2 linked regions of the Mus musculus genome follow. The protein of the gene in region 1 interacts with the protein of each later gene in a pairwise test. Links are inferred from orthologs where the notes say so. Each region holds a gene or a part of one and is shown on either strand. Other genes may lie near its edges. The genes, in order: Rgl2 and Rap1b.

The links.
Region 2: the proteins of Rgl2 (region 1) and Rap1b interact in a two-hybrid assay, tested with the Homo sapiens proteins (2 studies listed by BioGRID and IntAct). The link is inferred for Mus musculus from reciprocal best matches to the Homo sapiens genes RGL2 and RAP1B.

What each region holds. Positions count from the first base shown.
Region 1 is NC_000083.6:33,928,660-33,932,987, reverse strand, and holds the start of Rgl2 (ral guanine nucleotide dissociation stimulator-like 2), read right to left. Parts: upstream 3,095-4,328; 5' UTR 2,944-3,094; intron 2,744-2,943; 5' UTR 2,703-2,743; coding exon 2,547-2,702; intron 2,541-2,546; exon of another isoform or gene 2,045-2,540; intron 1,263-2,044; coding exon 1,179-1,262; intron 949-1,178; coding exon 770-948; intron 668-769; coding exon 617-667; intron 535-616; coding exon 237-534; intron 1-236. UniProt on the Homo sapiens protein: Probable guanine nucleotide exchange factor. Putative effector of Ras and/or Rap. Associates with the GTP-bound form of Rap 1A and H-Ras in vitro.
Region 2 is NC_000076.6:117,843,125-117,847,587, forward strand, and holds the start of Rap1b (ras-related protein Rap-1b), read right to left. Parts: upstream 2,851-4,463; 5' UTR 2,707-2,850; intron 1-2,706. UniProt on the Homo sapiens protein: GTP-binding protein that possesses intrinsic GTPase activity. Contributes to the polarizing activity of KRIT1 and CDH5 in the establishment and maintenance of correct endothelial cell polarity and vascular lumen.

The sequences.
Region 1 (4,328 bases):
TTAGAGTCAAGCCAGACAAGTTTCCAGTATCAGGGATCTGAGGCTCTTAAGTGGCCAGGGACCAGTGGGGCCAGAGTTCAAGGGGAACAGCCAAGGGGCGAAGGGCAGAGAAGGGTCAGAGAAGCAGACACGGAAGAGGAACTGCACCAGGACAATTGGAAGCAAGAAAAGGATCCGGAGCCAAGGAGAGGTTAGTAAGGGGGCAGAGAGTGTGGGGTCAAAGGTCAAGGTCTCACCGCATCTAGCAGGGTCAGCTGTTCGGCCAAGTGGTCAGCGAGGAACACCAGGACATCCGTGGGGTCAGCAGGGGAATCGCCAGGAAGGGCCAGGGGCTTAGGAAGGTCGGGGGCCCGGGGGTCCACCCGGGCCCGGAGGTTTCGGATGAGGTCAGCACTGCCCCCCACAACACCCTCCCGTGCTGCATACCCTGTCCGAAGCAAGAAGCTCTCAAGCCGGTCAAGTTGACCCTTGACCTCAGAGCCAAAATCCTCAGGGTGAGAGGCCAGCCAAGTTGAAAGTACAGAGATGGCTACCCTGAGAGAAGGGGAATCAGCCAGGGGTCAGAGGTCTAGCCTCAGCACCCTGAGGGGACTGAGGTTCAGACAGGGCCACTCACCCTGTGGTCCTCTCTAGCTCACCGGGAGGATGAGATTCAAGGGCTTCCAGCCTGGGGATGAGGAGAGGGTCTACCTTGTGGCTTTTCCAGCCCCCGCTGGTGCTGGGGGTGCTCAAAGGGAATCCAGGAGCCTCCTAACCCTTGGCCCCTGACCTGTCAGCCACAAGCCCAAACAGGGCAGGAGTGGAGGTGAAGGCCCGGTGGGTGGCCAGCAAGGCCGGAGTGAACATCATGTCAGCCCCTGCTGTCCTGGCATCCAAGAGGTGTCTGACCAGGGCCTCCAGAGTGCCAGCGCGGAGCCGTCGGGAGGAGCGAGGTGGAGGCAAGGGAGCCTGGAGAACATGGAGGGTGTCTCACCGACGGGCCTCCTCAATCTGACTGCTAGACATCTGGGATAATCCAGATCTAGCTTATTTCTGCCCCGGTTCAGAAATGGCTTAAATCACACAACACAGAACTACCTTCACACTACCAGAACTTCTTCAACCTAATGTTCCGGAAAATAAATAAATAAATATTAAATTAAAAACCGAGAGGCAAGACCTCAAAGTCGTGATCTCACCAAGGGGTCAAGAGGCCTGTACTGGCGGCTTGTGACAGTAAAGGTCGCACCATCCTCCTCCTCGTCCCAGACTGACACAGAAGCCTGGAGGAGCAAGAAGAGGAAGTGAGTTCCACAGCACCTCCAGTCCCCAGCCATTGTCCCCAGGCCCTGTTCCTCCCTCTGCACCCCTCACCTGTGATGGCGGGGGACAATACCAGCGAGTGCGAGGGGTAGAGGGTACTGGTGACCCCAGGTCTACCCCACCCTGGGGCTCAGACAGCCCCCCCGGCCACCTCAGAGCTCGGTGGGATGGAAGAGGTTGCAGTGAGGGTTTCAACTGAATGCAGGAACCCCTCTTCTGGCCACCTCCAACCCCCCTTGTCCCACAGCTGAGCCCAACGCAGAAAAGCAGGGCGCAAAGTCAGGAGCAGAGCGCGCCCGAAGAGGCACAAAGCCAAAGGAAGAGAGACCTGAAGCAGAGAGAAGCTGAAACTTCACAAGGCCCGCCCTCCCTGACAGAACCAGAGGAGCCCAAATTTAGTCCTTCCGCAGAGACTCCTTTTCCCCAGGTCCCCAATACAGCTTCCACTTAATCTCAGCACTGGGGACCCCCTGAAGGTGGCGGCTCCAATCCCAGTTACAAGAAGGGGAAGTAAGGATGATGGGGGGGGGGGGCGGTAGACTCAGAGTCATGTGGCCCTAGCCCCTCCCCCGACCGATCCCGAAAAACCAGCCTTGCTAGTCACCCTAACTTTACCAATGTCGGGGCCCAGGAGTCTGGATCCTCGGGCTCCGAATCTAACTTCTGGACCCTCCTGAATCCCTAAATCTTGCTGCGGACTACATCCTATCAGTCTCTTTGGACGAAGATGACCACGCTCTACCTATCCCGGGATCATCTCTCCAGGTGCCGGAACCTCTTGGCTTGCTGCCCTCTATTGAGCACCAGGGGGTGGGGGAAGAGGCGGCGAAATCTGAGGGTTCCCTCCCCAATCCTAGAGTCTGAGGAGCTGGTTACTGTGGAAACAAACCCCTCCCAGCCAAACAAAAAACGAGGAGGGAGACAGGGACCAAGATACAACTGCCCAGTGGCACCCGTCTAAGCAGGTATGGGCAAAGAGGGCCTGAGCCCCGCAGGCACAGTCAGCCCGTCTGCCAGCCAGCCATTCTGGTTCCGGCAGGTTCCTACGGGCAGGTTCCGAGCAGACAGACAGGGCGAACTTCATAGACACCAGGACCCGCAGCCAGGGGACAGATATCCAGAGAGAGTGTGGCGGGCGGGATGCGAGTGAGGCGGGGAGGAAGAGACCGAGGGACCCAGAGACACCGAAAGGAGGAGAGTCTCAGAAATATTTAATGCCCTGCCTCCCGCCACCCGCGTCTCACCTCTTCTTCTTCCTCATCCTCTTCCTCCTGCCCCCCGCCCACGGCCCGGCCACCTGGGTCCCCACCCTCTTCGGGGTCCCGGCTCCGGAAGCTGCTCAGCACGACTCCCCCGGGGGGGGTCGTGTCCAAAAGCAGCCGCAGGGGCCGCGGGAGCATGGCCGAGAGAAGCAATCAGCGGGGTCGGGCCATGGGGGCGCCTGGGGAGAGACGGGTGGGATTGGGTGGAGTCAGACGGGCGTGGGGGAGACGGACAAGAAGGGACCTAGGTGGGAGTCCCTGAGGAAGGCTGGGGGAGGGAGATACGGGAGTGGGGAAACCCAAGCCCTCGGTGCTTGCTTGGGACTTGGGGGCTAACTAGTGCGGAATGGGCAGGGTCACCCGGTGCTCCGGCTCTGACCTGCTCGGGAAGGGCGAGGGCTGCGCGCGGGTCCCGGGCCTCTGTTCTTGTCGGTCTCTGGCCCTCTACCGAGTCCCCTCCCCGGCTTTTCCGCGATGCCCCCCTCCTGCACCCCGCCGGGCTCCCGGGCCCTCCCGCCCTTTCCGCTTCCCCCCTCCCCGCGTCCGCCCGACAGCAGGAGCCAAAAAGGGAAGGAAGTGAGGACAGGAGCCAGGGAGAGCGACTAGGGGAGTGCTGGACGCCAGGGGCTGGGACGCAGGCTGCAGGTGCACTACTCCGCTGTCCCTTGCAGCCCCACTCGGTGGCTCTGAAGCCCGCGTCTCGCAGCAGACACGCTGGAGACCAGGGTCCTGTCTCAAGCCTCCACAGGAAGGCAAACACGGAATTTTAAGTCACTTTTTCTAACCAGAGCGGCGCTGCAACTGCCGAGGAAAGTGCCCTAGCAGTGGCGCGACCCCGTTACTGCAGCTCGAGAATGACACTGCCGCCCCGGCACGAGTGCAACGGAGCGAATCCGCGCCGGGTTTTCTGTGCCGCCCTTATGCCCGCCCACTCGCGGGGAGGGGGCGGAAGCCGGCTAGTGCGGCGCTTCCGGTTCCACTCGGGTCCGTCGCTCCGGGCGTCCGGCTCTCACCGTGCGCCCGAGCGCGCGCGGTTCCCACGGTGGCTATGTCGTCTCCCGGGTGCGAGACGAGGACCGGGAGGTGACCGAGGTTGGCTGTGCTTGGAAACGGGAGAATGAGAGGCCCGCATGGAAACTCGGAAAGACTTTATTAGCTCACGAGGACCGGCGAACAGGAGAGGACGAACCACACGGGGACATTCGTAAAGGGCCGAGACCCACCAGGCCCGGAGATGGTAAAGGTGGACCAGGCAAAAGAAAAGCTGTGGTAGGAATGGAGAGCTGGAGAGGTAGGCTTTAGTCCGCGAGGGAGACACATGGACCTTTCCGTCTCTAGACTACTGCTGTGGGCTGTCCCTGAGGTCTCTAGAATCTTAAGATGCTATGAAGACCTTTCGTCCTAATCCCCTGGCCAGTGGTTCTCAACCTTCTTAACATTAACGCAGTTCAAGTTGTAAAATTATTTTCTTTGCTACTTCGTAACTGCCTTTACTACTGTTGTGAATCCTAATGTCTGGTATTTCCGATGGACTTAAAGGGGGTTGTGAGCCACAGGTTATGAACCCGCCTCTCTGGCGCATACACTGGTTCTTCTCAACCCTGGGACTCTACGCATGTGTGTTCTTATATTTAGTTCTCTCAACAAAGCCCCGCCAAGTAACCCCGACTGACCTGAAACTCCCTATTTGTAGATCAGGCTGGCATGGAAATGTCAGAGATCCACTGCCTCTGCCTCCCGACTGTGGGCATCAAATGAGTGTGG
Region 2 (4,463 bases), on another chromosome or scaffold:
TTCTGAATTCGAGGCCAGCCTGGTCTACAGAGTAAGTTCCAGGACATCCAGGGCTACACAGAGAAACCCTGTCTCAAAACAAACAAACAAACAACAAACAAAACAAACCAAACAAAAAGGGCTGGAGAGATGGTTCAGCAGTTAAGAGCACTGACTGCTCTTCCAGAGGTTCTGAGTTCAACTCCTAGCAACCACATGGTGGCTCACAACCATCTGTAATGGGATTTGATGCCTTCTTCTGGTGTGTCTGAAGACAGCTACAGTGTACTCATATAAATAAATCTTTTAAAAAGGATTCTTTATTTCAACTTGTTACTCTTATAGGCTCTTTAGTGGGAGGGCTCACTTTCCCTGTATAGGTCAAAAGAAAATACTGGAATCATTATAAATGACCAATGATAAAATGATCAACGTGGAAAGTGAGAGATTCCCAAAGAAAATGTTTAATTCTTTTTAAAATGATTACACTGTTCTCTTTAGTCTCTGAATTAAGTCCCAAACATCACTATGTGCCCAGGTAAAATGCTAGGGACTAAGAGTAAAGCAGAATTCCTATTCTCATGGTGTGTTCAATGAACTCTACTGAACTTTCATCTGAGTGTCTATGTAACAGCGACATGCTAGTCATTTGAGGCATGCAGAAGAAATCTACCCCTTCCTTGGACCTTACAACTTGGTAGAACAGAGAAACACACACAACAGTAACAGAAGACAGGAAGTGATACAAGCCACGGAAAGAACAGTGGTAAGACAGACAGAAAAAGAAGAAAGACACGTTCATCATTTCTGTGTCCCAGACCACAGACTAAAAATTAAGCCGGCTTAGCATGGGGCCCTTCAGATGTTAATCTGAGGTTCGATACATTATAGCACAAGCAACTATATGTCCTTTTGATTTTACTTTGCAGCTTCCACAGATAAGGTCACTGAACTTCTGTGTCAAACAAGAAAGTACAAGGGAATATAATGTACTACAGAGATTAAAAGTATGGATATCAAACAAGACTGTCATTTGGGATTCTGTGTCTCTAAGTTAAAATTATTTCCTCCTCGGAGTATTAACTTCCTCTAACCAAAACCAGGGGATGAAACTACCTAAGGGGTTGACGTATTCCATACCATTTAGCTAACTATGGCACTCTTGGAGAAGAGAGCATAATGGGACCAATAATCTCTACCAAGATGTAATTCACAATTAAAAAAAAAAAAAAGTCACATTGCTTCCTGTGGATTGTCCTTTATGGATAGACCACGGCTTTACAAATCAGCAGACTCAGGTAATTGGTTATCTATTTTAGGCCTTAGTTTCCTCCTCATGAAACGACAGGGTGGGACCAGATGATTTAAAGAGTCTCTTTCCGGCCCTAAAAAGCCCCATGACTCTATTATGACTTAATACACTGACTTCATATCAGGCTTTAAGAGTGGTAAGGGCTTTAAATTAAAAGAATTTCTCCATTCAATTAAGTTACTTCTTGCTAAGATAAACTCCTTTCAGGCAAGTCTCGACAACGTTCTAATTATACAAAAGAAAACTGAAAAAAAAATGAATTTACAAGCTAGAGGCACTCGGTATATATTAATACACACTGCCAGCAAAGCAAACATTTCAACGAGACTCAATTGATTTTTAAAATATTGAAAAGTCCAGCCTGCATCGTAATGTCAACTTTCAACTTAGTAAAAAAAAAAAATGTGAGTTCCTATTACTGTAATAAAGAAGTGCTTGTATGCACACGAGTCGAGAGTCGCAGGGCCAAAATATCTTTCTAAAGCATTGGGGGGTGGGAGGGGGCAAGCGAAAGGAAAGCAATCCCATCTGCTCAAAACTCTTAAGCGAAGATGTTTCTTCCAAAGGCATCTTCTCCTCCCGCCCCCCTCCACCCCAAGGAAAATCCCGAGGGCCTAGTTCCCAAATTCACGGCGCTGATAAGTCAGTTTCAGAATCAGACACCTCGAGATGGCGAAAAGAAAAAAAAAAAAAAAAGGAGAAGAGGACAAACTTCCTGGATTTTTCTCTCTGCAAGAGAAAAAGAGATTTCCTCTTGCTGACGAAGGAAAGGCCCCTTTAACATTTTTTTTTTCCCTCTGCACGGTGGCGGCTGCCAGACTAGGTGGGGCTCGCTCCGCTGCCTTCCTCCTGCCACTTCCCGCAACAAATGAAGCAAGCCAGCCCCGATCCGGGCAAACTTTTTCCCTGTCAGGCTCGAGCCCGCGGGGCGCCGGGGAGTGGTCCCCCCGCCCCCCCTCGCGACGCTGCTCCGCCCGCCCGGCCCCGGGCTGGGAGAAGCCCGGGTGTCCGCAGAGGACAACTTTCTGGTTTCCGCTCTAACTTCCACCCACCGCCGAGGCGGGGAGCGGGGCGCGGCGGGGAAGGCTGCGGGGGCCTCGGGCAGGCGGGTGGGGGCTCCTCGGGCGCTCACTTCCTCCGCCATATTTCAGACATTTGACCCCTTCCGCAAAGCGCGCTGCTCCCCCGCCGCGGCCGCGGTTCCTCCCCGGCCGCCCCGAGGCGGCGCGCCCCGCCGAAGCGAGCGAGGGACTCGGGGGGCCCCCCGCCAGCCACCTGCCGCGCGCCCGGGCCACCCTCGCCGCCGCGGGGGCCATCGGGCTGCCCCGCCCGGTCCGCGCCGCACCCCACCTCTCCCCTCAGCCGGCGCCCGGCCCCCCGCCAGCCTCGCGGCCACGCACGCACCCCGCGCCCACCTCTCGCGCTGTCACCGGGTCGCCGCCGTCGCCCTCGCCGTCGCCGCGCGTTCCCTTCGGGTCGCTGCTCCCGGCGCCACGGCGGTCTCTGCCGCTGCCGCCGTCGCCGTCGCCGCCGCCGCCGCCGCTCGGGCTGCTTTCCACGCCTGACTCTGGGCGAGGTTTGGCGGTGTCGCCTTGACGTCAGGCGTTCAGCCTCGCTCTCGCTTCCGCCCGCGGGCGGGGCGCGCAGGAGCGCAGCCCGGGAAGGGGCGGGGCCGAGGCGGGCCCTGGCGGAGGGGGGCGGGGTCTCGTCGTGCTCGCCTCGCAGTGGGCCTCGCCCCGGCTCTCGGTCGCCGGCTCCGGCCGTGGCCCTTCTCCCCTGCCCTGCGTCTCGTTGCTGCGGTCGGCCTCGCCCCCCGCTGGCTGGGCTGTCCGACATAATCGGTGTCAGCCTCAGCGGAGCGCATCCGTTTCGACCCCAGCGGGTAACGGGGAGCTCAGGGGCTTGGAAACCTCTGACGCCTTCGCGGGGCCTCCGAGTGCACAGTCGCCAACGCCCCCAGACCGTCGGTGTTCGCGTGGTCCTTTGTGCTGGGGAAGTAACAGAGCAGCAGTTCCCACTCCCAGAGCGCGAGGGCAGCTTTTCATTTTTCAAATGGCCTTTCTTTAGGTTTGACAAGTATTTCAGCCTGTGGTGTGTTAAGCAGGGCCAGCTGTCCAAATTACCCTGCCAGACGCAGTTCGCGAATGGAGGATTCCAAAGCATGCTTATGGCCTGTGCCTAAGTGAACAGTTTATAGAATTAAAATAATTGGTTCATGGAAGAGCATGCCTGGGGCGCCTTCATGACTTTATAGATTACTCATAGATGTCAGTCTATGATGTGACTCCGAAAAGCTCTGTCCAAAAATGACTTGTTCCAAAGAGCACAAGAACTTACATCGATCTAGGTAATTAGAATATTTTCTCACCATCACCTTTAATATGAGAATCATGCTATCAGAGCTTTGTTTGGAAGACTTTGTTTCTGCTCTGATTACGCTCTCTTCATTGCGTGGTCCTGGCTGGCCTGACCTTGCTATGTTGACCAGCTTGGCTTTCATCTCAGATACACCTGCCTCTACGTATGGAGTGCTGGGGATTAAAGGCATGCGCCACCACTGCCAGCGAGGGAAAAGGTTTTGATGAACAAAACTTGAGAGGAAAGTACTGAAAGGAGTAGGCAATTTAGCTGGCCCTCCCTGTACAAATTATTCTGGAAATTTAACGAACCCTAGAAGAGAAATGGAGACGTGACCACTACGCTAACCTGAGTTAAGTGAGCGAGTAAGAAAGAATTATAGCTGGGTCTCAGGATGCCAGTCTGTAAGAGCACACCTCTTTCTTCTGCAGACTGAGCAGGAGGTGGCTCCTTGCAAATTCTAGGTTGCTGAGGCCACAGAGTAAGTTAAAGCCAACCTAAACGGTTTTGTGAGATTCTCAAGAAGTTAAAAAAAGGGGGGGGGCATAGCTTAATGATCCAGTACTTGTCTAGCAAGTGTCCGAGTGTAGTAGGTTCAACCTTTAGAACAACAAAAAAAGAAAAAACCCATAATTGACAGTTGTGTGTGCTTCTGCACGCTTGTGCCCTCGCCTGTGGGCACACAGAAGCCAGAGGTGAACAGGTTATTTTCTGTCGCTCTCCACTTAGTTGTTTTGAAACAGGGTCTCTCACTGAACCTCACCAATTAGGCTTGAGTGGCTGGCCACCAATCTCAAGGGAGTCTCCTGTCTCC